4 linked regions of the Pelodiscus sinensis genome follow. The protein of the gene in region 1 interacts with the protein of each later gene in a pairwise test. Links are inferred from orthologs where the notes say so. Each region holds a gene or a part of one and is shown on either strand. Other genes may lie near its edges. The genes, in order: HMBOX1, WT1, ASB7 and ABITRAM.

The links.
Region 2: the proteins of HMBOX1 (region 1) and WT1 interact in binary tests that used the Homo sapiens proteins (3 or more experiments, as listed by UniProt). The link is inferred for Pelodiscus sinensis from reciprocal best matches to the Homo sapiens genes HMBOX1 and WT1.
Region 3: the proteins of HMBOX1 (region 1) and ASB7 interact in binary tests that used the Homo sapiens proteins (3 or more experiments, as listed by UniProt). The two-hybrid records come from large-scale screens. The link is inferred for Pelodiscus sinensis from reciprocal best matches to the Homo sapiens genes HMBOX1 and ASB7.
Region 4: the proteins of HMBOX1 (region 1) and ABITRAM interact in binary tests that used the Homo sapiens proteins (3 or more experiments, as listed by UniProt). The two-hybrid records come from large-scale screens. The link is inferred for Pelodiscus sinensis from reciprocal best matches to the Homo sapiens genes HMBOX1 and ABITRAM.

What each region holds. Positions count from the first base shown.
Region 1 is NC_134713.1:4,737,591-4,745,121, reverse strand, and holds the start of HMBOX1 (homeobox-containing protein 1), read left to right. Parts: upstream 1-4,515; 5' UTR 4,516-4,794; intron 4,795-7,531. Other genes in the region: INTS9 (integrator complex subunit 9), read right to left, coding at 3,664-3,714. UniProt on the Homo sapiens protein: Binds directly to 5'-TTAGGG-3' repeats in telomeric DNA. Associates with the telomerase complex at sites of active telomere processing and positively regulates telomere elongation.
Region 2 is NC_134714.1:97,900,668-97,908,365, forward strand, and holds the start of WT1 (Wilms tumor protein), read right to left. Parts: upstream 3,002-7,698; 5' UTR 2,719-3,001; coding exon 2,328-2,718; intron 1-2,327. Other genes in the region: uncharacterized protein LOC112546777, read left to right, coding at 3,015-3,475. UniProt on the Homo sapiens protein: Transcription factor that plays an important role in cellular development and cell survival. Recognizes and binds to the DNA sequence 5'-GCG(T/G)GGGCG-3'. Regulates the expression of numerous target genes, including EPO.
Region 3 is NC_134724.1:7,682,589-7,690,050, forward strand, and holds the start of ASB7 (ankyrin repeat and SOCS box protein 7), read right to left. Parts: upstream 3,019-7,462; 5' UTR 2,835-3,018; intron 937-2,834; exon of another isoform or gene 891-936; intron 487-890; 5' UTR 280-486; intron 1-279. UniProt on the Homo sapiens protein: Probable substrate-recognition component of a SCF-like ECS (Elongin-Cullin-SOCS-box protein) E3 ubiquitin-protein ligase complex which mediates the ubiquitination and subsequent proteasomal degradation of target proteins.
Region 4 is NC_134712.1:144,204,847-144,212,086, forward strand, and holds the start of ABITRAM (protein Abitram), read right to left. Parts: upstream 3,007-7,240; 5' UTR 2,953-3,006; coding exon 2,898-2,952; intron 2,868-2,897; exon of another isoform or gene 2,490-2,867; intron 1-2,489. UniProt on the Homo sapiens protein: Actin-binding protein that regulates actin polymerization, filopodia dynamics and increases the branching of proximal dendrites of developing neurons.

The sequences.
Region 1 (7,531 bases):
GATTGAAATCGGAGAGATAGCTCAAACTAGAATGCGGTCAGGACATGAGGGTATTCACTCCCCTACTTGTGACCTGTAATGACCTCAAGTGGTCAAGATGTCAAGATTTTGGTTTTACATCAAAAGACATTAGGTCTGGCAGCAAAGCATCTCCTTTTACATTATTTACATGATAAGTATGGCCATAATCACTTTACATATTGAAAGCACTTCTCACAGACATTTGAAGAACTAAATTGATTAAAACTGATTTTAAAAGCTAAGTTTATTTTTTAATAATTGATTACATTTTACTCTGTAGTGAACAAGGTAGATTTGTCAATTTCACTTTCTAGCTCTGACTCTGTTAATTAGCATAGGACTGAAATGTTTGAGTTAAAACTCGAGGAGAATGTATGCATCCACCTCTAAAGAAGCTGAAATATCATGGAGACATTTTCCTTATTAGATTTGTAATTGCTTAAGTACTCAACCATATGCTTTTGAATTCTGCCTTCTGACACCACAGCTTTAAGAGAAATCCTTGCAGTGCTGGAGCTTAAAGTGCATGCAGTGATGATTAAGTCAGTGGAGCTAATCCCGTGAAAAATTAATCACATGAATAAGTCCTTGTATGACTGAAATCGTATGTAACTACTGCCACAGACCCAGCAAGTGGGAAGAGATGTGTTGGAAAGACAATATAATTTTCTATAGGCTTTAATTAAACAAAGGCATTACAAAATTCAGCAATTAAGTGTTTTAAAATGGGTATACTACAATCCTCAGTGTTCAAAACTCTCTTGTTTTTAGAAAACAGGGTTATGTCCTTGATTTCTCTTGACTACATGGAATTCCCCCCCTTTTTTTCTTTTATGACTTAACTCAGTGTCCTGTATGATGTTAAAATAATGTAAGTTGTAGTATATTAACCTTTTCAATTTATTTCAACAAGATCATAAATTATTATTGCTTAAAGCTCATTAAAAACAGACCAGCAACATATCCCAAATATTGTGTTCTTGGGCTTGTCCAACTGGAAGGTCCAGTTTGCTATTTATTTTTTCTTCAGTTCTCTAAAAATGCAATTACACCCATCCAAAGCTCTTGGTATCTGTCCCATTAATTAAAGATCATAACACATGAACCACAGTTTGTCCACAAATATATCCACCTATGACCTCTTCAACAACCTTAGAGAAGAGAGAAAGAGAAAGGCTTTGAAAAGTATGTGGAAAATTAACACATCTGGGATTTGGCAGATCAAAGCAAGCAGCAAGCTCCAAATCAACAGACTCCTCACAGAGAATGCTCCACCATTTTATTTATGTTGAGTATGAGTGACTCTGCTGACTTGACATGTGGCAGTTTGGCAAGGGAGAGAGACAATCGTGCAGGGAACAAGGCCTCAAGCCATTCAGAGACTTATAGATTAAAATCCAACACTTCAAGTTTTATCCATAAACCAGTGCAGATTGTGCACCAGTGCTCTAAAGTTATGGATCTAAGCTAGTTATAGGCAGTATATATACAATGGAGTTTGCTGTTGGATTTGCCTTTATAATGGTCAGCAGCAGCAGCAAGAGCCTGAATAAAAGCCCATCAAAATCAGAGGTCATCATTCCATTGTCTTCACTGGGCTTTTGAGCAGGTGTCCATTGCTTAGGACTGGTGTGGATTTATTTTTGTCTTGTTCTTCCATATTTAAAACAAATACATGAGGGTCCAGGATGAAATTGCCAAAAAACCTGAATATCCCTTGTGACCTAAGACAAAAACCCAAGAAAAAAGAGCTACATAAGGACAGACAGGGTCAGGCCAAAGGTCCATCTATCCCAGTATCCTGTCTTCTGACAGTGGCCAATGCCAGGTGCCCCAGAGGGAATGGACAGAACAAGTAATAATCAAGGTATCTATACCCTGTTGTTCATTCCCATTTTCCAACAGAGGTTAGGGACACCATTCCTGCTCATCCTGACTAATAACCACTGATGGACCTGTCCTCCACGAATTAATCTAGCTCTTTTTTGAACTCTGTTATGGTCCTCCTCCGGCAAAGAGTTCCACAGGTTGACTGCGCATTGTGTGAAGAAATATTTCCTTTTTATTTGCTTTAAACCTGCTGCCTATTAACTTCATTTGGTCATGCCTAGCTCTTGTGTTATGAAGAGTAAATAGCACTTTCTTATTCGCTTTCTCCATATAAGTCATGATTTTATAGACCTGAATCATATAAACACTTTGTCAAAGGGTGTTGTGAAGGCTATTAGCCAGGATGAGGTCCCTAGCAACTGTTTGTCATAAGCCCCATGGGCAACTGGGAATGGATAACTTGGTTATTCCCTGTTCGGTTCATTTCCTCTATGGTGTCTAGCATTGGCCACTGTCGGAAGACAGGCTACTGTGCTAGATGGAGCTTTGGTCTAGTCTAATATCTGTTTTTATGTAAAAGTCTGCAGGTTTGGTACCTTCATCTACCTCTCCATAAATTCATTTTACAGTGATAAATTAAGCCACAGTGAAGGTAAGTGATTTTCTCCTAGTCACAAAACAAGCCAGAGATGGAGTCAGAACCCACAGGAGTTGCACCCCACAAGTCTGTGTCGTATTATAATACACACTTTGCCTGTGGGAAACTACGGTCATCTGAAGAAGTGGGTTGTGCCCACGAAAGCTCATGATACCATCTACATGTTTTCTTAGTCTATGGCTACATCTAGACTGGCATGATTTTCCACAAATGCTTTTAACGGAAAAGTTTTTCCGTGAAAAGCATTTACGGAAAAGAGCGTCTAGATTGGCACGGACGCTTTTGTGCCAAAGCACTTTTTGCGGAAAAGCATCCATGCCAATCTAGACGCGGTTTCGTGCAAGAAAGCCCCGATCGCCATTTTCGCCATCGGGGCTTTTTTGCACAAAACGATTCTCAGTTGTCTACACTGGCCCTCTTGCACAAAAGCATTTGCGCAAGAGGGTTTTTTCCCCGAATGGGAGCAGCATTGTATTTGCGCAAGAACTCTGACGATCATACCTTAGATCGTCAGTTTTCTTGCGCAAATTCAAGTGGCCAGTGTAGACAGCTGGCAAGTTTTTCCACAAAAGCAATTGCTTTTGCGGAAAAACTTGCCAGTCTAGACGTAGCCTATATGTTTTTCTATATGTTTTGTTAGTCTATAAAGTGCTACCAAACCATTTGTTGTTTTTAAGTTGATCCTGTACAGACGAACTTGGCGACCCCCCTAAGCTTCTGTTTTTCAAAGTAAGCCAAAGTCATCCACCTGTAAAGACTGTATCGCTCCAAGTTAAAAAAAACCCTCAGAATCTGGGTTCACCCATCCTGGGAGTGGCTTAGGGTCTCCAACTTTCAGACGAGGAGCAGCAGCATCTGATGATTTTCAGTGTGGGCCCCCCGACACACACACCCACCCCCCACCTACCCACACACCCACCCCCCTCCTACCTACACACACCCCCTACACACCCCCCCTACCCACACACCCACCCCCCTCCTACCTACACACACCCCCTACACACCCCCCCTACCCACACACACACCCCCACCCTCCCTACCTACACCCCCACCCCCCCCTACCTACACACACCCTACCTACCTCTCGGCAACACCCCCCCTCAAAAGCGTCCCCTTCTCTACCACCAACCCCTTCCTGCCCCTCAGCTTCTCACGTGGAGCCTCGCCGCGCCCGGGCCAGGGGCTGCTCCAGCCCCGCCCACCATGGTCAGGGGGCGCGCCGGCCCGGCCAGAGGAGCCCCGCCCGCAGGAGGACGGTTAACCGGTTAACCGTCGCATCTGAACGGTTGACGTTTGAAACGGGGCTCTACCTCCCGGAGCGCGTGGCCGGCTCCTTGACCCCCGCGCGGCAGGGCCTGGCCCAGTGGGCCCCAAGCCCCCGTCACAGTTGGGGCCTTTGGAGCCTCGCCTCACATACAGAGCACGACGCGCCGCCCCGGGGCCTGCCCCCGCTAAGTGCCTCAGTTTCCCCAGCGGTGGGGGGAGGGCGACCCCACGCTCCACCAAGGCTGAGCCCCCCCTCAAGCTCAGTAGACTCTCTAGGGCCTACTGCGTAGCCATGGCAACCAGGCCTGGCCTGAAGCCCAGAGGCAGGACCCGCCCCCATGCCCGGGACGGGAGCGAGGGGGGACCCTTCAGCCCAGCCCCCCCAAACAGACACTAGCTCCACAGACTCACCAGCTTCATGCTTTACCCGGCCGGCGCTATTTACTGTGACCATCCGCCCCTTTTCCTGCCCAGCCTCCCCCGCGCAGAGCATCATGGGACTCGTAGTCCTCTTGCCGCCGCCCGCCCCTGCCCAGGATGAAGTCATGCCCTGCCACCCCTTCCCCAGGTGCATCCTGGGAGTTGTAGTCCCTTCCTCTCCCCAGCCCCTCTCTCCGTCGGCGCGCCGTTCCGGAAGGGCACGCTGGGAGTTGTAGTCCTCCTGCCTCGGCTCTCCCCTTCACCCAGGGGAGGGGGGAACTACAAGTCCCAGGGCTGCGCAGCGGCGGCAGGTGGGAGCTCGGATGTTGATATCAACATGGCGCTTGCCAGACAGACAAAGACAGTCAGTCTGGTGTGATTGAGCCAAAAAAAAAAAAAAAAAAAAAAAAAAGGAGCAGGGGGGAGGGGGGATTTTCTCTTGGGGGGGGGCCGGAGAGGGGGGATTGGACGCGGAAGGATTTTCACCCCCATTGCTCCCCTCCCTCTGCACCCCCGTTATTGCCCCCCTCACACTGGGGCTGGGGATCCCCCACTTGCGCTCTTCCATGGTGAGGTGGAGAAGGGACCAGCGTCCAGAGGTGAGTGTTGCTGGGCGTGGGGGACCGAGCTGCTTTGGGAGGGGCATGGGAAGGGTCCCCTGAGCTTGAGCTGGGCCTGGCTGGGGGAGTTTAACCCTGGGATGGGGGGGAGCTTCCTTGAGCCCCTGGAGCACAGGCTGCGTGAGGCGGATTTGGGGGTGGCAGGTCCCCTTGCCCTGTGCTGGGTTTGGCGTTGGTGGAGGGGGAGATCCCCTTAGCCTGTGCACATTTTGCTGGGAGAGTTCAGTAGAAGGGATCTGGGTGGCTCCTTGTATCCTTGAAGTGGGGGCAGGGAGGTGTCTCCTAGGCAGGCTTGTTTTTTTGTTGTTTTTTTTTTTTGCTGGGGGAGTTCAACACTGTGGTTCGGTGGCCGTTTTCTTGCTTTCTTTGAAATACAGGCTGCGAGTGAGGTTGATTTTTTGGGGCGAGGAGGGGTAGATGGGTGGGAAAGGGACAGAATCCTTTTAGGTTGGGTTTTGCTGAGGAGTGTACTGCTGGGATGGAAAAGGCTGGTGGCTCCATGTGCGCTAGAAGCACACGATTGTGGGAGAGCAATGGTGTGTTTGGGAAGTGGGACTTGCACCAGGTTAGACTTGCTTCTGGTGGACTTTTTAGGGTTGGTCCTGCTTTGGGCAGGGGACTGGAATTGATGACCTCCTTAGGACTCTTCCAGCCCTGTGAGTCTATGATGGGTGGTGTCTGAAATTTGTGTGACTATGCACATTGCCTGAAATAGGGGACAGGTAAAGGGAAAGAGGACAGGGACAGATTCTGTTGCTGCTTGCAGGGTGTGTTGGGCTATTCTGCAGGCTGTTGTAGTTTTGCAGGGAGTTGAACACAGGACTAGGTGGGTGGGGTGAATTAGGAAAGAAGGAAGGCACCTTGCCCACTGTTGGGACATTATGGTGATGAGTGCACTATTAATACCTAGATTCTATTCTTGAGACACACAATGTGTGTGGCATGACTGACTTAAGGTGAAAGAAGAGGAGGTTGGTGTTTTTCGCGGAGGAATTTTATACTGGCCTATGAGGAGGACAGGGAGGGTACCTTTGAAACAAATAATATGCCTATGAAAGAACTTGGGAGAGGGAGGGTCCTTGTTAAGAGAAGAGACACTGTGTTGGTAGGGTCGGATGAGTGTGGGTGGATGTAGGGGGATGGCACAGTGCTTTTGTGGTTGTATGTCCAAGACACTAGTGATAGCTTACTACCAAAACAAATCTGCTTGATACAGAAGCAAGAGCATGCATCATGAGGAAGAGATAGGTGAGAATCCTAAGGGGATGTTGTAGCTGATGTGTTCAACACTGGAGGGCGGGGTGGGGGGGGATGGAGTGGACATAAGAGGGTGGCTCCTTGAATGTACGGGAGATGAGCATGGATGAGGTTTTTATTTTGGTTTTACTTTTAAAATGAGGCTCAGGTTTTGAGGTGGGGGGAAGGTGTTAAAATAATATTTATATTTTGTATCTGAGACATTGCTTTGAATGCCCGGAAAGTGCCTAAAAAGATGATGGCTGGAGAAGGTGGCAGAGAATTCTGTTAGGCTGTTACATTCTGTTTTTATTTTTTGCTTTGCTGTGGAGTTAAAAAATGAGCAGGATGGGTTTTTTTGAGGTGTAAGTATACATACAGCAAGGTGAACTGAGTTGGGCTCTTGCACCTCAGTTTTGGGTGGTGAGTTTTGGTGTATAGGAAGGAGTGGTTAAAAGTGCCTCTAAATGTGTCTGCAGGGTATTTTCTTTGGAAACAATTTTTGCATTAGCCCTGAAAAATCTTTTGATCATATGTTTATTTCCCCCTCCCCCTTCAAATAGGGGAAGGAAAGAGTGCCTTTTGGGGTTGGAGGGGAAGAGGAAGTATGAAACATATTCCCACTTCCCTGTCTGTGAAGTCCTATCGACTCAGTTTATTCTGGAGCTCAAGTAACACTGGCAACACAGAGAGAAGTGTCTTCAAGTGCTGAATGCATGTGGACTGAAAGTGGAGGATGTTAAATGTAATGGCCCAGGACATTGAGTTGGGAAAAGTAAGTCTGTTAGGTACTGGCTGTGTGCTCTTGGCTCAATAATCAGAGGGACTAGATAGATTGAACTCATAAAGGAGATGCAATTTGCATGAATGATGCCACCCGAAATAAAGTTGTGTTGTATAAACGGCTTGTGCTAGGCAGTCAGCTCATCTTGCTAAAATCCCGGAGCGCCTGTCTGGATCCCGTGATACCACTAGCTCATTTCTGCAGGGCTCATCAGGTGCAGAAGCCTCTCTGCTTCCTTCCTAGGATGGTGCAGCTGGCATCTGATTTCCTCTATGGATGGGAGAGGAGGAGTCCTGTGCGATTGTTTTTTTCCTTTGAGATGATTGCATTTTCCTTGGCCTCACTGTTCCCTGCCTCATTAGTAGAAACTGCATCTATATTTGTTTACCGCAGGCATGCCAATGGGGATGCCTGGAGTAGCGGATAGTGGGTCTATGTGAATTCATCACAATAACATGTTTATTTTTTCCCCTTCCATTGTTGTACAATTATCTTAGGGGACAGTTCTGCAACAGCAGGCTGTAAACTTCATTTGTTTGAGGTTTTTTGACCCTCCTTTGCTGCATTTCTGAGCTAAATCTTTAAGGAAATGATTGGGGACAGGCAGCACATTACATACACATGATTGGAACTTCTTTAGCTTCAGACAGACTTTGTCTTTGGTTATGAAAATTATTTGCCATCTCTCTGTTCTAG
Region 2 (7,698 bases), on another chromosome or scaffold:
GAAAAAAAACTTTTGCTAGCTATACTGCCCTTGTCTATGTCTTAGAAGTGGCTCGCTTTCCCCAATTCTTTCAGTTTTGTTTGTTTGGTTGTTTGTTTCCTGGAATACCCCAGGAACATTGCAGACATAATTTGAAACGTAAGCAAACATAGAATAACTTCTTTGGAGACCGTAGGTTGTGCGAAAAGGGCTTAACATTAAAAGTCCAACATTAGCCGAGCCCAAACTACAAAAAAGCCAGAATAAAACAAACAAAAAACCCAGAGCGGGTATTTGGAAAGATGAATGCTCTTCAGTTTGCAAATCACGAAAGGTTAAGTTTCCCATAGCGTTATTGTACATAAGGTGAAGGAGAGTAGCGGTACTCCGGTACCCCCGGCTACTCCACTGCCCAGTATTCTGTGTTTTAAAAACAATAAAAATAACAAAAACGCCCTTCGGCGCGCGCACACGCTCAGTTCTCAAATAAATCTGCCATCCCCCCCCCCCCCCCCCCCACAGACAATTCCAATAGTTACTCGAGAGATCGCTTTTCAATAACAAGGCGTTTGAACTGCTTTGGGGATCAAGGACATGAACACAGCTCAGAGACACGTTACGTTTACTGCTCGAGACTCAACGAGCTTCGCATTTGGGTTTCGGGACTGCTTTTCTAACGCAGTGGCTACAATAATTAGGTAGTAAATGATGAGGTTCAAACACTTCATCTTTCTGCACAGCCTTAACTCTGCCTCCCCAATGCCTATTCCACGCAATTCAAATACGAATGAAAGGCCCGTTTCTTTATCGGGGTGATGGGCCGCCAATCTGCATTACAACGAGGCACCTGAAAAGGTAAGCGGTTCGGCCCTGCCAATATTGCACTCCTTCTGCAGAAGAAACTCTCTTCTTGAAGCTGACAGGTGTGTGTGTGTTTGCACACGCACGCACACTTTGTGGGTGTACACACATACTCCTGAGCGTCTGTGTCCACGCAGCGGCAACAGCTCTATTTGGTGCAGGGCAGACAGAACACCTTTGCTCAGGAGGGGTTCGTTGAGAAATCATGCAACCGGCCTGAAAGTCTCTTCCGTCTGACTAAAAACCCGATCCGGCCTTATTTAGTGTCTCTTAAAAGCTCTCATTAGCTCACGGGTGTCCCACCTATAATTCTATTTTCCCAGTGTTAGGTTTCCGGTGAGTTTTGAGATGCATTTAAGACAATTAATTAGTAGTTGGTTAGATGAAGTACCTCTAACAGAGGAAACTCTTAATCGAGGAGCCATTGCAAGCCTTCAGCTTCACCAGGACAGAATTGCGCATAGAATAAAAAAGACGCATTTATTTCCTCGAAAGGGGGGAAAGGCAGTACTTTATTACATGTTGCTTGGTATATCCTCCTTCCACGGCCACGTCTGCTGATATTTAAATTACAGCAGATTGAAGGAAAATGATTAGATTATAGCTATCTTTCTAGGCATATGGATTGCTGAATTTCTACTAAAAGATTCTTCTGGTAATTTAATGTTTGTAAATTAAATGGGTATTGAAAATAGGAAATACCACAGGGATTACTTTGTCGGAGATGACATTACAACACCACATTGAGAATATCTAAATTTTATCCCAATGTTTGCTTAGTTCGGAGGTTTATTTTTTAAATATCTGCCAATTATGGGAGATGCCACAGTTCGCTGATTACTGAAGAGGGGAAAGTGGGCGTGTTATTTCACAGTTTCTAAAAGTTAAACAAATAAAAGGGCTTCAGATTAAAAGCACATTCTAACCTAAGCGACTTATGTACGACGCATTAGCAGTTTAGGATACATCCCAACGTCATACCAGAGACATTAGAAATCAGTTCTTTCGAGCACCTTGCCCGGCATTGGACTGTCGCACTTGAACACAAAGCTGTGCAAGCGGAAAGTTTCACGGGCTACGAGAGCGAACCACCCACCTGCGCTAAGTGGGAAGCTGAACTGGAACTCGGCTGAAGAGCGAGCAGACCAGCAAGGCCACTTCAGATAGTATTCGAAAGAGAGGCCGAGCGAATGGCTAGCCCGGTTTAAGCCGGGGTGCAATGGAAGTTCCTGCAGAGCCCCGGCTGGCAGAACCGGTCCCATCAATGTTGGCCCAAAGGGACACACCAAGCCCCGGCGGAAGCCTGAGGGGAAGGTGTCTGGTAGTGGTGGTCTATTGAATTGCAGGAGGAGGCGGCCCGCGAGGTTCAGCGTTACCTGACCCAGCTGCTGCCCGGCGGGCTGTGTTTACGCGCCTGTGAGGCTGGCAGCCCTACGCGGGAGAGTCCCATTCGCCATCCCCCGCCCGGTGCCCCCGCCCGGTCTTACCCTGGTTGCGGATGGCTTGCTGGCTCTCCAGGCAGTTGGGCAAGTAGGGGCCGTTGGGGAACATGCGAGCCTGGCTGGAGGGCGCCTGGCTGGGCGCGGGGGCGCCGAAGGGCCCGTAGCGGCAGGCGCCGGCGGTGCCGGTGAACTGGCCGGAGAAGTGGACGGTGAAGGCGCTCAGGCATTGCTCCTCGTGCGGGTCCGCGCCGTTCCAGCTGGGCTCCTGCTTGATGAAGGAGTGCGGGGCCAGCGAGCCGTAGGACGCGCCCGGGGGGAAGTCCAGGACGGGCGCCCACTGCGCGGCGCTGCTGACGGGCATGCTGCAGTTGCTGTTGCCCGGCAGGGAGGACACGGAGGGGAGCAGGGCGTTGATATCCCGCACGTCGGACCCCATCTGGTCGCAAACTTTCCTCCTGCCGGCCAGCCAGTCCCCCCCGGGGCCGCACTTATTCCAGGCCACCTGCCCCCTGCCCGCCACGCCGGAGCCCGGCTCCGGCTGCAGGAACCAGCCTGCCGAGCTCAGCCCCTTGGGCGAAGCTTGCTCCGGAACACAAGCGCCCGGGTCCAGCCCCGCGGGAGCCGGCAGCAGCGCCAGGGCAAGGCTGTTCTCCAGGGTCGCCGCTTACTCCGACAGCAGCGGGAGAGAGGGCTGGGAAGAGCCGCGGGACTCGCCTCCAGCACCTTACTCGGATGCTGCCCGCTCGCCCTCCACCTCCCCAAGCTCAAATAGCGGGGCTTGCCCGGGAGGAGGAGTCAGGGGCTCTGATGCTCCATTCACACAAGCCCAGCCCGCTGCGCCAAGCCAGAGCCCGGGAGGGGGGGCTGGCGGGGCGCGCTCTCCCCTGCGCTTTCCTTCCACCCCGTGGTGCAAACGCAGCTACATTGAACCCGGACCGCCCTCGGGCTTGGGGAGCGAGAGTCGGCGGCAAGCGGCGGGTGAGCGGGCGCCAGGTGGCCCGTCAGTGCGCGCGTGTGGCTCACCGGGGGCCGGGCTGGGACGAGCCGCAGGCGCGAAGCAAGGACATGTCCAGAAAGGCAGAGGCATGTGTCCTGTCACCGCAAGTCTCTCGTGGCCAAAGGCCCCAGCGGAACGAAACGCCCCTGCGGAGGGGAAGCGGCCACTGCGCGCAAGGCCGGCGGACTTGGCTCCAGTAAGTGCGCTGCCCGGCAGGGGACCACCTAATGGGCCTGCTTTTGGGGGGGCCGCCTAGCGCGGGGGGGGGGTCGGAGTGAATTGTCCATGCACTGGGGAGATGGCTCCCCGCACGTCGCAGCGGGACACACTCTCGGGGCTCGGTGGGGAGTTAGCGTGCGCGGATGGCGGTGGGAAACTCTCTCGAAGCCCCAGCTGAAGCGGAGCGGAGCTATGAACGCGAAACGCTCGCAGGGCGGGGTGCGCAGGAAGGGACTGGAACTGGCTGGCCAGGGCTCAGAGGCCTGCGAGAGTCAGTCTCTTTAAACGGATGATCCGAATCCTGCGAAGCAAACCGGCGTTTTCATGAAACAGCCCCCCCGGGAAGGGTCCGGCCAGGCAGCCCGCCTCCGAGCCGTGCACAATTCCTAACGCGGACCGTCTAATCGTCTTCTGTTTCCCAAGGAGTCACCTGGCGCACCCCTCCCCGCCCTGGACAAGTCCTTCCCCCACACGGGGCTAGCGTAGGGCCGGGGTTCCCAGGATCCCCAGCAAAGCAGGGCTTGCGGGTGGCTTCGAGGCGCGATGCCAGAGCGGCCCTTAGCGAGCCTGCCCCTTCTCCGGGCAGACCCCCAGTTGACATTGTCCCACGACTCGCAGGGCGGTGGCCCACTGTAGCGCACGCTTTAGGGCGCTAACGAGCAGCTGAGGCTAGCACCTGCCCTAGCTAGATGTCCAGTCCCCGCCCCCCTTAGTTCCAGCTCCGCGCTCTGCCTCTAGCTCGCCCGGTCCCGCTTGGCAATGAGATGTGCTGAGTGGAATCCTAACTGCGGGGCTATGAACAATTAGGGCCTGATCCACAGGCCGCTCCAATGAACGGGGAACATTACCATTGACTTGAATGGGCTTTGGATCAAGTCTTTACCGCGGAGGGAGGTCATTAGAAAGCATGGGCTGCAAACACCCGCTGACTCTCCCCCGTGTGAAATTTCTTTCCAATTCCCCTCCTCTCGAGATGGACAAGCGGCAGTTTCTCCCATGGAAATGGATTTTGTTTGCGGCCAACAGACACTTGCAGCAGGGAAAGAGACCGATACAAACCCACCTTCCGTCTCCCAGCAGTCTGTCGCGTTGGTTTTCTCTGCCCTGATCAGCCAATAAAGGGATGGTAGTTTGTTCGGATTTGAAAGCACGGATTCTCTTTCCAAACACGAAATAGGGACTCCTGTAAGGCTGCCTCCTGCTTTCAAAGTAAATCATCTGCTTCATATAAACTGGGTTCTGATAGTCCCTCGAAGGCATATTTTGATATTGCATGTATATTCCACGAGAAGTGAAACCCATCCAAACCACGCCTTCGGTGTACTTTGCATCCCCTCCCTCCGCATAATTCAATCTGCATATAACATAAACATCTCTATGGTACATTTAGAATATTAAACAAAATGCAGCAGTCTCACTCGAACACCCACCCTACACGCTTTTGCTTCGGGAACTTACAAATAAAAAAAAACCCTCCTTACAATCTCAACGAACTGCAATTAGCATTTATCTGTAAAAACGAATTTGTAGTTTACATAGCAACTTTCTCTTTAATCCTTCACCTCCCCACAGCATCAGAAGTGATCACTAAGAGTTATGAGTTCAGATGGTATGTTTTAAACTAATCCAATGTGATGCAAATAATTGTAGTTAAGGATGAGGGTCTGAATTTGTTTTCTCCCTTAACTACAACATTTAGTCGCGTTAATTATTTAAGTGGTTAGACTACATGATTTTCGAAATAACTTTAAACAAATGTATTCAAAATCAGCAAATTGGTCTTACTACTTCGAAAAGGAAACAGATATTAAAGCAGAGGCAATCAGCGAAATGTTGCTGTTGTAATAATCAAAGATCGCCTTAGGTGTGAAGGTTTATTTTTAAGTGAGGATTAAACTAAAAAGGACGGTTTGGTATTAGCCCCAGAAAATTGCTTATGCAATTAGAACTCTTTCTTTCAAGGGAATCGAGGTGGTTCAAGCTTCGATTGCACTGATTGGTTTGGGGTTTTTTCTTATTTCTGTCCCCTTTTCTATTTCCGAATGTGGTACAAATTAACGAGTACTGAAAAAACTATAACCATGTCTTTTTGTTCCTATAGCTGGAGTAGCGGTTTTGAGCCATTGAAAGGTAAATATTCCTCTGGCTACAGTCCTTACTGCATTGGCTTGTTTTAAGATGTTTATAAGGGCTTTATAATTTAACTAACTTCCAATGCTAGATATTACAAAACATAGGTGGGAATGAACATTTTGAGCTGTTAATATCTAGTATTTTATTTTCTTCGACAATTGTCTGTTTAGGGATCTGAGCACAAGCGCCGTCTTCCGAAAAGGGGATTATCTTGTTCTTTAGTAAGTAGTTTGCGTTGTTGAAGTTTCAGGACGTTTTAGGGAACTGGAAAAGTAATTTCCTCATTAGGCAGGACTGCATTATTCAGACAGCCGGGAAGACTCAGAAAGCATTTCCAAATCTTCCCTTGTATCAGGTGGATAGGATCAAATGAACAACAAACTTTACATTCAAACAAGGAGCAAATAAATTCCAGCACCTTGCTTCTGTCTTTATACCCAATGCACCCGCTCCAGCTAAGAACAGACACTGAGCGTAGGGAAACAAGTCAACGTGTACCCTCCAAAATAAGTTTAATTAGTTAAACCATGTCTTATTACAGATCAATGGGGAGAGAGGAGCGGAAATGTCCCTTGCTGTGACTGGCACAGGTTACACACAGTCCCTAAGAGAGTGTCACCTGCCCTCAGCTGCAATGCTAAGTAGACACGGGCTGGCTATAGGCTAGGGAAGCATACACCTTCCCGAATCTATCAAGCCATCGCTTTTAAACAGTTTTTGTAAAGAGCCAGATTCAGGGGCATGTATCAGGAAACGCTCCCATAGGGCGAAGGCACAAATATACCAATTTGGAAACTTCTATTTTTGTCTCTACTACCGGGCTAAGCAAGGACGCCAATAAAAGACTGTGTGGGGAAAAAAATCAATTTGCTCGCCAACTAGCCTCCCTTGCCAATGATCAAGGGAAAATATCTGCGAGGACATCACAGAGAGCCCCTGGTAACTCGCCATCCCCACCGTTTGCAGCTATTTCCTCACATTCAATAGTGCCCCAGGTTAAAAATACCTCTGCTAGAGCTGCCGGTTATTGTTGCAGTTGTTTTCACACAAGAGCTAAATGTCAAGGGCGGGAGTGTGTCCGATAACTCAGGAAGGGGGTAGCACATGCATCCACAGCGGCTGAGCGGAGAGCCCCCTTCTTTCCAGAGTGAAAGCGATTGCAAGGAAACTGTGTTGTGTGTGTGTGTGTGTGTGTGTGTGTGTGTGTGTGTGTGTGTGTGTGTTTTGAAGGAAACGAGTCTTTCCCAAGTGCGTTTTCAGATCTCAGGCGCAAAGCTCCCTGTGAGAAGAGGGCCAGGCACCTTCCCTGCTCCAAAAAGAGCCTTGAAATATAGGTTTGTTTACAGCCGCCCCATTTTTAAACATTCGGAGGCCTGAGTCTAACCTCACACCAGTGTGAATCAGGAGTCACTCCACTGCCGCCGCAGAATTACCCAACTTAGAATAGTTCAGAACCTTGTCCCTGGGCCTCACACAGCAGAGGACAGGCCAGACCGGGTCAGCCCTGCGGTCATGGAGTCCAGTAGCCAGTCTCGCGGACAGTGGCCATGAGCAGCTGCTTCGGCGGAAGGTGTGAAAGCCCCTGGAGCCAGATGAGCGATCATTTCAGTGCCCCATTCCCACCAGGCCTCACGCAGCCCTCCCGTGCTTAGAAATGGGTTCAACCCCGGACGCAGGTTTAATCTCCCTTCCAACTTTTCCATAACGAATTGCGAAAGTGCTTTCAGACTGTGCAGATGTGTTTATTATTCCAGCCCTCGGGAGCAGAGCGCCCCGGCAAAATGGGTTTGGGGATCTAACTATCCACGCTGCTGCAGCGTTTCCTCTCTGTGGGCTTTCCCCCTCTGATTTTTCTTCCTTCCATCCTACCAATTCCTGGATGAGCATTCTTATTACGCTTTACTAAGCACCATAAATGATCCGCTCCTGGCTCGGCGGGTGGGGGAGAATGACTTAAACAGAGATAAATTTCCAGCAATCCCGATCTTTGTTCACGCTGTTCAGTGCAAACAGAGGGATCTGTCTCCTTTCACTCAGGGAGCTGATCAGGGTTTGATTATTTAAGTG
Region 3 (7,462 bases), on another chromosome or scaffold:
ATTATTAAAGAGAGAAGCCACAAAAAGATCTTGAAGTTGCAACCTACAAAAAAAGTAAATAAATGTTTGGAGCTTATTTTATCAAATGAGAACGCAAAGTGCAGAACAAGACACAGAAAAGGGAAAAAGTTCATTCCCTATACTGCAAATTTTTGTTACTTTTTTAAGCCAAAGAGCAAATTGTTTTTTCTAAAAAAAAAAAACCAAAACAACCAAAACCCCCCAAAAAAACCCACAAAAAAAAACACCTAAGAGGGAAATCTAATCCTAGGTACTCACATAAAATCAGTCAAGAAAGCCAATAAGAACGGGTTCCATAAGCATCCAGACAAGCTTGTGTGGACATGCAGGGTTGGCTTGGGATACAAGATAAGAATGAAGGTGGATTATCACCTTTATACTGAGTGCCACTTTCAATTTTTCTTACAGTCTGTATCTTCTCCTTTGCATTCCCAGTTTGCAAGTCTCCCTTGAGTCAGCTTGAGCCTGAAAAGAGGGAGTTAGTACTGTTAGATGAGTGAGAAGTGGAGGATAAAGGGAATTAGCATCCAAAACACTGTCAAGGTTGAAGTAGGGAGAATGAAGAGAAAGGAAGCACAGGGTATTTCCCCAAAGTGGAAACTGAAAAGAAGGAGTGAACCATATGGAATATTTGGGGTTTTAATGTGGGTAAAAAACCAGCAAGAGATTCTTCTCAAAGTATGGTCTCATTGTAATTGAAGTAAGGAACAAGGAACATTAATGGGTAGGCAGAAAATAACAGAAAAAATCAGAGTTTCTGGAGAATTAGAAAAAGCAGGAAGGTAACTGTCCCCAAGTCCTCACCAAAAAACAAAGTCTTGGGGACCTCTGAGGAACAAAGGTTGGGCTCGGAGAAGAAGATTACCTACCAGGCATGGTTTTGAGGTCGCAACACAGATGGTCCAGAACAGAATCCTAGGATAATGGTTAGGAATGTAAAATTCGGTTTTATTGATTAACTGGTTAAACATTATGTTTAACTGGTTAACTGTTTAGGGCTGGAGCAGCCCACCCACCACAAACAAGGGTTGCTATGACTGGCCATCTGATCCGAACAGTCCCCGTTTGTGGTGCACCACCTGGGCCGGGCCCACCACAGACAGGGGCTGTTCTGAACAGCCAGTCAGAGCAGCCAATCTGCAGTGGGTCCAGGAGCTGCTCCAGCCCCTACTGGTTAAACATTCATACGCCTAGTAATGGTGGATGGCTAGAGAAACATCTAAGATCAAGAAATGGGCTTTTACGGCCTAACCAAAATCTACAGCATCATTTCTCAAATGTGGCCAACACAAGTTTTCTTACCCTCATAGCTTCCTAGCTGGTGATTGGAAAAATGGGGAGTGGGAAGGTACAACTCCTCTCTAGGGGGTCAAAAGGAGGGGTTGGGCCCTGCCCTGGAGATATGCACTCTAGAAGAGCAGAAATGCAGTGCGACTTCCCCCCTTTCCTAGGTGTGATGGAGCTCAGGCTTCTAGTGTCAGCCTTGAAGGGGCAGGCACAGGTTGTGGCCACAGGCCAGCAGGTTCGTCATGGACTCCACCCATGTTTCTGGACTTTGGCTGCACAGACACTGGTTGGGTTTTGGACTTCAGCTACTGAGTTTTGGGCTCACTCTCCCCTGCCTTCCCCCATTACCCTGAGCTCCCACTGCAGTCACTGGCCGCTCACCTATACATACATACCAATACCCCAGTCCTTGCTACCTCCCTACCCACCTTTCCATTCAAGGCTTAATTTATCCTTCACCTACCAGGGCTGAATAAGTCTGTGATGGAAAGTGATATTTGTAAGTTAATATAACTTTTTACTGCCTCCGAACTAGCCAATAAATTGGCTGCAAAAAGCGATATTAACAAACATACCAATATCTTTTTTTTTAAACAAAAGACAACTTACTAGCTAGTTAGTCTTAAAAAAAACCTGTAACTAAAAAAAAAGCAAAAAAAACAACAACAAAAGACAACAACAGGCAAAGCCCCTTATTTTTGTTTCTATTCTTATTTAGGGCAAGTAAAAAATAGGGACAACTGTATGTTATTATTGAGTCTAAAAAAAATCTACATAAATTATAACGATCTGGACATGTATGTGTGTATGTTTCTCTTCGGATCACATAAATCTTCCACCTTTTATTTATTTTCACTGAAGTTAAATATTTTAAGGAAAATTTTCATAGTGGCCACCACAAAAGTTAGTGGCCACACTATGAGGCCTCCAAAAATTTGCTGAGAGAACCCCAGTAGTGGGGAAGAGGTTGAAAGGTGGGGAAGGGAGCAGCGCACAAAACAGGGAATTTCGAGGCATTGAAAAGAGACCAGCGGAAAAGAGAAGCGTGAACCCCCTGTAGTGCAGTGACGGGGGCGGGGGATTAAGAGAGGGGCATAGGGCAGATTTGCTCTGCTCCATAACAGTCTTGGGAGCATGACGGGGGCAGGGGATAGTGACGAGCGAAGAGCACGTCCCCCTCGAAAGAGTCAGCGAGATGAGGGCGATGGGAAGAGCCTCGGGGACTTTGGGCCGGGTGGGGGGAGATAACCTCCCCCCCTAAAGACCGTCTCAAGGGAACCATGGGCCAAAGCGGGGGGTGGCCCTCAGCCCCACAGCGGGAATACTCCTCCCCAGACCCTGTCCGGGGGGGATGGGCTAGTGCCCCCCCCAGTCTCAGAGGAGCACGGGGCTGCAGACTATCCCCCTCCCCCACACACCGCAGAGTCCCATGGGAAGGGGGCGCAGACTCGGGGCGGGGGTGGAGCGCTCCCGCGGCAGGCGCCCCCCTGACGGGGTCTCGGGACAGAGCGGGCTTCAGCCGTTACCTGTCTCCTCCTGAGGGGGGCGGGACCGGCGGTCGCTCCGCGGCCGCTCCCCCCACTGGCACTGGCTCAGGAGTGGGGGGAGCCGCAGACCCAGCCGGGGGCGTTGTGGGGACACTTTACACTGACTGAGCCGCCCCCCTCCTCACTCCGGGGTCACTGGGCAGGGACTGACCCCCACCGCAGCCAATCCGCTGCCGCCGCCATAGCTCCGCCCCGAGCCGTAAACCACCGCCGCGCCGGGTTGGGTGACTCCGTTTATCTCCCCGCCCAGTGCCGTAAAGCGGGGTGGGAAGAGGGGGGGCCCTTGCGACAGCTAACGGTAAGGGCTGCTTGCGCTCGAATTTGTCCTGGGAGAAGTGGGCCCTCCCGCGCCCCGTCTCCGGAGGGCGGGTAAAGCGAGGCGGTTGCCTAGCAGCCCTGGGTGGGCGGCGATGGCTGAGCGTGGGACCTGAGGCGGCTCGGTGAGGGCGGCTGGGCCGGGAGGAGGGGGTTGCGCTGGCGGCCGGGCTGTGGAAGCCCGGAGGCGTTGGCGGGAGGGGGTGAGGAGGCTGGGCCGAGGGTGCGAGGAAGGGGAAGGGGGAGGGGAGGTGTGGGAAGCAGGAGGCGGCGCTGCGGGGGGAGCTGAGGCGCAGCCTTTGGGGGCGGGGGTTGGCTCTGCTCTTTCGCATCCCGATGTGGCCTGCACGTTTTGGGGCTGGAGGATGAAAACCACTGGGGGGGGGGAGTGAGGCAATTTCCCCCACTGTGTGCTGATAATTATGGCGCTGCTCAGCAAGGATATTGGCTGGGTGGTTGGTTTTTTTCTTCTGTAAGGACCAGCCGTGAAAAAGTGACATTCTAAATTCTAATCCGGAGGCAGACGGTGGGAGAGGTAATACAGTTTGTTGGACCAATGTTCTGTGGGTGAACGAGACCAGCTTCCAAGCTGGTTTCCCAGACCTGGAAAAAACAGGTCTGTCTAAACTTTGAACTTGAAGGTGGTCTTTTTCACCCACAGGAGTTGGTTCAATAATAGAAATGACGTCACCCACCTTGTGTTTCCTATCTAGGAATCAGCCCATCTATAACGACACTGCAGACCATCAGGACAGCAGATGGTTCACACCTCACAATTGGTGGAAAGTGTTTGCACAGACAGGAAGGTCAAACTGTGATTTACCTTGGAAATATTTATTCCCACGCAGAGACCGGAAATGTAACAGTTTTTAAAGGCAAGCCTATAAGCTAAAAACCCCCAACTCTCCACCCGCATACAAAGTTAAGAGAGCCAGAGTTTAGTTTATACCTCATGATTTAAGTGTGGATCTTCCTTGACGCAAACAAAAGCCTTTCAGTGAAATTAGAGAATCCTCATGCCCCATATTTCATACATCAGAGTTGCAACCACCATTGTTTTCTGTTTGTGAAGACCGCAATTAAAGAGAGAAGCTTTCCATGCAATAGTATTTTAATATGATCTACTTTAATGAAGTTGAAAGTAAAACAAACATAGTGTTTTAACAGGACTTTCCTTTAATCATGATTGTGAGAAACACATGCTTTTTGGCTAATTGTATTATGTGAGTCATAATATACCATCCAGCTGCATGTCAGCTGTAATAAAAAAAAACACTTGCAACTTAAGATGTAGTCTGAGAATGTAGAAGATAATGTGATTTGAAAACAACTGTTTCGTTAGTCACTATCAAATGAGTGATGGATTTTTGTATATAGGACTTAGCTTAAGTACTCCACACTGAAAATGTATATTGACTTCATAATTCCATTTTAGAGATATTGTGGAGTTAGTGACTAGCCATTGACTTACATGTTTTATGGTATTCCTCAAAATTTATTGGCCTCAAATAAACTATTTTCCATGCTTCCTTCTCTGATCCCTTCCCTTCTTTTCCTTTAGTGTCTCTCTTCCCTTGCTTTCTATTTAGGTAATCCTTATTTATCAACCCCTGTGATTTGTATTTAAATCAAACCAAAACAGTAATGAAATTTACATGATGTTTGACAATCATTATGTTACTCATGCTGCTTGTAAGCTATATCTCTTTTTTCTCAATCTTTTGTCTCGTCTGTTTACATTACAAATTCGTCATCACAGGGATTGTGTCTTATTCTGGGTCGTTCTGTTGATTGGCTTCTAGGAGCTGCCATAATATTAGATATAATTGGAGTACATTATTCCTTACATATCCCTACTGTCATACTGCTGTTACTCCCTTCCTCACCTGTTTAGTTATCTGCCATGCTGTCTTACTATAGTTGAATATATCTCTGTTGTCCTCTGGCATCTCTTCTTTCAAATTCACCCTTTAAAACCTATCTTTTAAAGCAATCCTGTCCCACTTTGTAATGATCACCACTCACTTTTTCCTGACCTGGTATCCTATATTTTTTTAATCTATTTTAGATTGAGGTCTTTGAAACAAGTGGCATGGTTTATTGAAGTTTGGTAAAGTACTATGTAAATTAATGGTGCTGTAAAATATATAATCTGGGAAAGTGCAAGCACTAGTGTATTGGAAAGATAATATTTCATAGTGCTAGTCCTAGAAGAGTTCTAAAGTTGATTCACCCTAACAGCCTCATTGCATTGTATTAACTGGTACACAAGAGAGCCATTCATTTAACATTTAGGGAAGTAATTCAGTTTGGTCCTGAGTGTATTAATAAATGTATGTGTATTTGTTTAGGTAAAGTGTGTTGTATAAAATAGTCACAAATAAATTTTATGAGTTTTCAGATAATTTTCTATCTTAGGTAGAATTCAAAGTATATTCCACAAATGAAGGGTAAATATGTAGCCTGAAGTATCAGATTTATTCTTAATATTTAAAGTTCAGGCTTTGTGAACTGATAGAGGTCCCTACAGTAGCCTCACTGAAATTTGGTTGAGGAACATTGTAAGGTTCTAAAACTGCAAGTCAACAAGTGCTGTGGAAGGATATTCTCAAAAATACATGGATGTCTATGTAAAAAAATGCATGCTACCATAACGTTTATAGTCCATTGTGGATTGTCTTATCTTCCAATCCCAATTTTAGATTCTGCCTCAGAGGCAATATGGTCTAGTTATGGTAGTCACTGTCAGGACACTTGGATTATATACTTCAATCTGTCACTAACTTGCCACATAACCTTAGCAAATCACTTTATCCATCTATCTCTTAGATTCCACATATATAAAATGGGAATATTTGCTATCTTTGGAAAGTACTTTGAGATGTTCAGCTAAAAAGTACTATATATATGCTGGGTACCACTAGCTAATATTTTAGCAGCCCTAGAAATCAGGCTTATGGCTTCTGGAGTTTGGCACCCAGAATTAGAGACTAATTTGGAAAATGTAGATGTTAACTAATGCAGTTACATACGCTTTGTTTTATTCTGTTTATGAAAGTGAGGGACCAATTCTTATTAGACAATTTTTCTATTAAGCTGTCACCGTTCTTGTCTGTCTATCATGGGATTTTCAACTTGCCTTTCCTGCACACAGGCCGACCGTCCCCACCAGCTCCTGTAGAAGTGATCTGCTGCCTGGCTCCCGCTGTAGCCGAAGCAGCAGGCCACCCCTGCCAGTTCTGGCTCCCGGTCCCCTGGCAGCAGCCCCAGAGTTGGAGGGAGGGCAGCAGCCCCAGAGTTGGAGGGAGGGTAGTAGCACCAGAACCAGGAGGGCAACAGCCCCAGAGCTGGGGGAAAGGCAGTATCCCCAGAGAGTTTGTGTGTGGGGGAGAGAAGGGGAGCTAGCAATCCCGCAGTGTGTGTGGAGGGAAAAGACCAAAAAGACAAAAATAAAAAACTAAAAAAAAAAAAAAAGACTAAAAATAAAGTTTTCCGCTACCAATTTAGGAGAAAGATTGGATGGCTAACAGTTAGCAACTACCTTGAATCATACTTAGCCATCCAGTCTTTCTCCTAAATTGGTAGCGGAAAACTTTATTTTTACTCCTTTGGTACACTTTTAGAAAGATTGTCTTTTTTTTAAACTTTTTATATATTTTTTTCAGTATTTGCATATTACTCCCATTGAGCTTATGTGCAATATCTGGTCATTAATCTCCATTTTTTTAAGACAAAAGGAAAAACTATGTACTACTATAAAGACTAACAAGATGGTTTAATAGACGTTGAGTTTTCATGGGCCAGACCCACTTCCTCAAATCATATTCTGAAAGAGAATTGGCATGACCATATATACCAAAGGAATACTGTGAAAAAAGTGAACACATTATTAAACTGACAAATCAGATTTAGAACAGAAGGTGGGGAGAGAGGGAGGAAGGGAAGAAGGGAATAGCTGTTTATAAGTCAATGAATGGCTAATCAGGGGTGATAAGTGGGGAAGCTGTCTTTATAATGTGTTTAAAAAAAAAAAACAACAACCAATGGTCTCGTAGCACTTTATAGAGTAACAAAACATGTAGATGGTATCATGAGCTTTCATGGGCACAGCCCACTTCTTCAGATACTGGAGTTATGAGTAGGGGGTATGAAAACTTGGATATTAACTTGAAACTGGTCTATAGTCAGGCCCTTAGGTACAATCGCATCTGCTCTAATCCCACTGACAGAGATCAGAAACTTCAAGATCTCTACCGAGCATTGGTAAATCTCAATTACCCACCGGGGGAAAT
Region 4 (7,240 bases), on another chromosome or scaffold:
CATGACGAACCAGCATTTCAGGTACCGCATTGCTGTTTGGAGGTTGGGGGAGCAGCCTGCGCACTTCCTAGGCCTTGGCGCGCAGCTGCAGGATCCCCAGGTACCAGTCCCTGTCCCCTCCCCCCACCCAGACCCCCACAAGTACCCAGTCCTGGCACCCACCGGCACCTTGGCCCCTGCCTCGGCACCCTGCCCCAGCATCCACTAGCACACTGCCTCAAGACCATGTCCCCTGCCCCGGCACCCACTGGCACCCTGTCCCCTGCCCCAGCAACCACAGGCACCCTGTCCCCTGCCCCAGCACCCTGTTCCCTACCCCAGTACCCACTGGCATCCTGTCCCAGCACCCTGTTCCCTGCCCCCACCAGCACAGTTGGGGCCACATTAGTGAGCCTTGAGGTGTTTGAAGGGGTTGTGTTTTTGTATCTGACTTGCATGGCCCTGACTGACTTTTCTGTGGGTCAGTGACTGCTGACTCAAAACAGGTTCCCCACCCCTCTCATAATAAAGACAATGCTGAAACTTTTTGTGTTTGACACAATATTTTATTTAAAAATGAAGCCTGGCCAACAAGCCGCCCATTGGGGCCAAGCCCTCATCTGGCCACAGCATCATAACACTCATGTACCTCCCACCCAGACCACAAATCTGAGCGTATCATACACTGGAACCCCCTGTCCTGAGCCTTTCATCCCCAAACTCCTGCACCCACACATCCTCAGTCTTCTGCCACAACACTCTTGTACCATTCACACACTGCAAATCTGTGTCCTGAGCCCATCATACTCCCTGTCTCCCTGCCCTGAGCCCCTCACACAATCCAACCCAAAATCCTGCACGCTCACATCTACAAGCCTGTGGCTTGCTCAGCACCCCAACCCTCCACCTGAGCCCAACACTTACCAGCCTGGAGCCCCCTGAGCCAGCATCCCCTTCTCCACATCCTCCTGAATCCAAATTCCCTCCCAGAGCTTGCTCCTCTCACCCTTTCCCACACACAAATCCCTCATTCCCACCCCAGAGCCTGCACCTCCTGTTTCAAACCACTGGGGATACAGCTAGACTACAGGAGGTTTTTAGGCAAACACGCTCTTTTGGCAGCAACTGTATTCCTCATTCCACGAGAAATAAGGGGGCTTCCAAAAGAAGAGTTTTTTCTAACATTTGGCCCAGTTTAGATGGGCCAAATGTCAAAAATCTCTTTCAGCAGAAGGATCAGAGAAAAAAAACGGCAGTATAGCTGTACCCTAAGACTGTATAAGGACCAGGTGATGGCGAGAAGAGGAACTGAGAGGGCAGAGCCTCAAGGAAAGGGTGGGGTGTTGAGGAAGGGATGGGGTAGCTCTTGGCTTGTACTGACATTTAAAAAGTGATCTTGGGTGTAAGAAGGTTGGAGACCACTGGTCCAACCATCCCTGACAGATGTCTATCTAACCTGCTTTTAAATATTTCCAGAGATGGAGATTGCACAACCTCTCTAGGCAATTTATTCCAATGTTTATCCACCCTGACAGGAAGTTTTTCTTAATATCCAACTTAAAGCTCCCTTGCTGCAATTTAAGCCCATTGCTACTTATCCTATCCTCAGAGACCAAGGAGAACAATTTTTCTCCCTCTTCCTTGTAACACTCTTTTAGGTACTTGAAAACTGCTAACATGTCCCTTCTGTCTTCTCCTTTCTAAACTAAACAAGCCCAGTTTTTTCAGTCTTCCCTCGTAGCTCATGTTCTCTAGACCTTTAATCATTCTTGTTGCTCTTCATTTCTCCACATCTTTCTTGAAATGTGGTGTGCAGAACTGGACACAATACTCAAATCAAGGCCTAATCAGCGCAGAGTAGAATTGGAAGGACTTCGCATGTCTTGCTCACAACACTCGTTATGCCCTTCCAGCAGGATTGTGAACCGTTAGTAACTACTCTGCCTGGTTATCCAGCCACTTGTGCACGCACCTTATAGTAGTCCCATCTAAATTGTATTTGCCTAGTTTATTTAAAGCTGGCTTCCATAAACACAGGCTCTCATCTCCCACCACCCACACTTCTGATACAGGGGCAGCGGGAAGAGAGGTGCATGTAATTATGCTGGTTAACCAATGAGCTCAGGCTTATTGGTTAATCATGTATATGTACACACATGTACATTAATATCCCTAGTAAACAGTGGAATTGTTGATAATGCCACTAGACAATACTGACTTTGTGGTTTGGCAAATTCTTTGGTTTGGCACCAGTAGGGTCCTGAGCATGCTGGACTAGAGCAGTTCCACCTGCACCTGTATTTCCCTGTCACACACCAACACCTCACTGTGCTGGCTGCTATATAAACACAGAACAAAGATACAGCTCTGCAGACCCGAGAAGTTTACAATGTATGAAACAAGGGACAACAGACGGGTACAGGAAAACGCGTCCAATCAACCCCATGAGACAATACTGGTCAGCATAATAAGCAACTGCCTCAGCGTAGACGCAGGGCCTGTTTTCTTACCCGGATAATGAAACCTGCAACCCTACTGCGGGCTCGGGCAGACTGGTACCCCGCTGCCTTATGCTGGAGTTCAGCCTCGTACTGGAGGCAGCTGCACTGGCCCAAGGCATTTTTGCAGCAGGGCACCTGCACGTGCGCCAGGGGAGCTGGGCTGCTCCCGCTGCTCCCGCTCCGAGGCACCCAAAGGAGCGTAAATCCCGCGCAGAGCCGCCCGCCCCGCCACACGCCCCCCCAAGCGGGGCGAGGGGCTTTCAACTGAGCGGCCAGGGCTGCGGCTAAAGCCCGCGCGAGGCTTCCGGCCCGCTGCTGCCTCGGCCCCCGGGCAGGGAGGGGCCGGTGACCGGAGGGGGGGGGAGGGGAAGCGGCCCGGCCCGGACCCCCCCGCGGCGCGTGACGAGAGGCGGGTACCTGGCTTGTACCAGCGCGTGAAGTAACGCTCCGTCACACCCGGCGCCGCGGCCATGCCCGCTCCTCCCCCCCCCCCGTCACGGGGTTACCGCCAGCCAATCAGCGCGCGAGACTCTGCCCAGCCCGCTTCCCGCTGGCGGTGCCCTCTCAACCCGTGTCTCCTCGCGCACACCCAGCCGCGCGCCCCTCCCCCCCCCGGCCGGAGCTGAGCGGGGTGACAACGCGGCAGCCACGAGGTAGCGCAGAGGTAGCGTCCCCGAGTCGTCTCTGCACATGTGGTTGCGTGTCACACCGGTCACACCTGGGGAGGTGAGGTACAGAGTGACGCAGCACACACACGGGGTACGGGTCAGCAGTCACAGCGCGCGCACACACACACAGACACACACACGGGGTTGCCAGGTGTCCAGTTTTGAACCGGACAGTCCAGTATTTGTATCTGTTCGGGAAACAAATTGAGAAAATATAAATGTCTGGTATTTTCTAAATAAGATGTAATGTAGATTGTGATGTAATGTCAAGTGTGTCCGGTATTTTTGTTAACACCATCTGGCAACCCTATGACCGGTTATGTGTAACACAGCCACTCAGCATACGCACGGATATGTGCAGGAGCTGCCTGAGGCCAGCTGCGGCAGCAGGCGGGCCACACAATTGGCGCCCCCCTCCCCCTGCACAGCTGTCAATGGCCATGACGTCATCACGGGGTGCTCGGGCCAGCGCTCTAGGCAACTGCCTAGTTTGCCTAGGCTCATGGGCTGCCCCTGCGTACATGTTACACAGTCACACATGCTGTGTATGTGTAAGGTACAGCCACATACCATAAGGGACATCATTCATGCTCATTCTGGCTAATAGCCATTGATGGATGTATCTTCCATTAATGTATCTAGCTCTTTTTTGAACCCTGTTAAAGTCCTGGCCTCCACAACATTCTCTAACAAAGAGTTCCACAGGTTGATTATACATTTTGGCTGTGTCTAGACTGGCCAGTTTTTCAAGAAAATCAGCCGCTTTTCCGGAAAAACTTGCCAGCTGTCTACACTGGCCGCTTGAATTTCCTCAAAAGAACTGACTTCCTACTGTAAGAAATCAGTGCTTTTTGCGGAAATACTATGCTGCTCCCTCTTTTGCGCAAAATTTTTGCACAAAAGGGCCAGTGTAGACAGCTGAGATTTGTTTTGCGCAAAAAAGCCCCGATCGCGAAAATGGAGATCGGGGCTTTTTTGCACAAAAGTACATCTAGATTGGCCACGGACGCTTTTCCGCAAAAAGTGCTTTTTCGGAAAAGCATCCATGCCAATCTAGACGCGCTTTTCCGCAAATGCTTTTAACAGAAAACTTTTCCGTTAAAAGCATTTCCGGAAAATCATGCCAGTGTAGACGCAGTCTGTGTGAGGAAATATTGTTTTGGTTTTTTTAAAACCTTTTATCTATTAATTTAATGTGGTGACCCCTAGTTCTTATGGGAACAAGTAAATAACTTTTCCTTATTCATGTTCTCCACACCAGTGATGATTTGATAGACCTCTATCATATCCCCCCTTCATATTTTCTAAGCTGAAAATCACCACTCTTACTCATCTCTGGTATGGCAACTATTCCATACCCCTAATCATTTTGTTGCCCTTTTCTGAACTTTTTCTAATGCAAAGATATGTTTTTTGACAATGAAGTTACCATATTTGCATGCAGTATTCAAGATGTGGGCATACAATGAATTTATATAGAGGCAGTGAGATATCCTCTATTTTATTCCCTATCCCTTTTAAAATTATTCCTAACACTCTGTTTGCTTTTTTAACTGCTGGTGCACATTGAATGGATGTTTTTAGAGAACTATCTACAATGAGTCCAAGATCTCTCCTTAGTGGAAAAAGCTACTTTATTTCCCATCATTTTATATATAGTTGGGATTGTTTTCCAATATGCACTACTTTGCATTTATCAACATTAAAATGTATCTGCCATTTTGTTGCCCATTTATTTTTATGAGATCCCTTTGAAACTCTTTGCAATCTGCTTTGTACTTAACTGTAATGACCAGTTTAGTATCATCTGCAAATGCTGTCACCTCATTGTTCACCCCTTTCTCCAAATAATTTATGAATATGTTGAATAGAATTGGTCCCAGTATGGACCCTTGTAGGACACCACTAGTTACATCTCTCCATTCTGAAAGCTGACCAATTATTATTCCATTTTTTGAGGAGTACAGGATCTTTTGAAAAGGGGGTTCTTTTTTGAAAGAACTGCATCTAGACAGTGGTTTCATTTTCAAATACCCGTTTTTGAAAGAATGCACGGCTGCCATTATGCAAATGAAGCGCGGGAAATTCAAATTCCAGCTTCATTTGCAATTTCGATCTGTCTAATTGACATCTCTCTTTCGAAAGAGGGATGTAGTCTAGACCAGTGTTTCTCAACCAGTAGTACGAGTACCCTTAGGGGTACTCGAGAGAAGCCTGGGGGGTACCTCAACACAACTGAATTTGGAGAAAACTGAATGTTTGTTTTAAGTTTTACAACGTTTTATTATTTTTGTACTTTTTACACCCAAAAATTTCATCACCCACCTGGCTACAATTAAGTTGTTTAAACAAATGTGTTGCAATGGTAGAAAAAAATGTGTGTGTCTGAAAACTAGGTAGTGGGGGTACTTAATTTTTTTTAAAGGGGTACTTTATAAAAAAAGGTTGAGAAACACTGACCTAGACATAACCTCAGTGGTGACTGCTGGGGAAGAAGAAAAGGAGGGCACCAGCCACATGCTCACCTCCTACATGACTTCTATCACATTGTTGGGCATGAAGACAAAGATTAAGGCAAGACTACACAACACACAGGCCCCATGTAAGTCAGTTCTGCTGATATTAATAAAATGCAATATTCACCCCATTTCTACCCATATGACAGCACTTTTAATAAGCAATGACAGTCCAGACATTTAACTACAGGCAGTCCCCGACTTACGAACGGGGCTTTCTCGCCCCGGAGCTCGAAGGCAGCGGTCAGCCACATCGACCTCCGGGGCGAGAAAAGCTGCTCCCGGTGCCCCTGGTCTGCTGGGGACCGTCTCCAGCAGACCAGGGGCATCGGGAGCAAAGCCGCAGCGGCGGCGGGTCCCGCGCCAGAGCAAAGCCTCAGAGGCGAGGCACCCCGCCGCTGCACCTTTGCTCCCCGTGTCCCTGGTCTGCTGGGGGGGGGCCCAGCTAGTGTGCTCCCCCCCCCCCCCCAGCAGACCAGGCTTTTGTTGTGGACCCTGGGGCAGAGCAGCTGGGGAGCTGCCGGTTGGTCCCGCAGTGCCACTCTGGGCACTACTGGACCAACCCGGCAGCACCCCAGCTGCTCTGCCCCAGGTGTCCTGATTCAGCCGCTGCTGGTCAGTTTCAGCAGCGGCTGAATCAGGACGCCTGGGGCAGAGCAGCTGGGGTGCTGCTGGGTAGGTCCAGTAGCGCCGAGGAGCGGCGCTACTGGAGCAACCCAGCAGCACCCCAGCTGCTCTGCCCCAGGCGTCCCCAAGTCAGCCGCTGCTGAAACTGACCAGCGCTGACTACAGGAAGCCCAAGGCACAGTTGCTCTGCCCCGGGCTTCCTGGAATCAGCGGCTGATCAGTTTCAGCCGCAGCTGACTTGGGGTTCTTAAGTTGAATCTGTATGTAAGTCAGAACTGGCGGTCACTTTCAGCAGCGGCTGAATCTGGACGCCAGTTCCGATTTACATACAGATTCAACTTAAGAACAAACCTGCAGTCCTTATCTTGTACATAACCCGGGGACTGCCTGTACTAAAACGCATATAAACAGAAGACCATTATATTGAGTACTTTTTTGTTTTGGCTCCCACCCACGGGCCATGTGTTGAGTCCCACGTAAACCCAAAATGGCTTGTGGAAACATGCAGGAAATATTTAATCTTAAACTGAGTTAGATTATCTGTGAATTAATCCCAGAGAAAACATTCTCTCTCTCCAACTGAGTGAAATCTAGCAAATATGCATACTAATTGGGCAAAATGTGACCTTATGACCTTTTGGCGATCTAGCATAAAAGTGTTGTCCTAAGATGAGGTGAGTATTTCAGGATCCTAACAATATTAGTGTTGTGTATCTCTGCAATTTTGAAGAGGCAGGGTCAAACATTGCTGTTTCATCAGTCTGATTAATTGAAAACAAAATATGATTGTTCAAACATAGGCATTTTTTTCTGTTTCAGAGAATAACTAATCAATTTTTTATGACAACCTGAGTCCTTTATAAAAGCCACCATACTTCAGCTTAAACAAACATAATTCAAATGATTCCTTTCACTTTGACTTCTGCTCATTTTTATTAGCAATTCTATA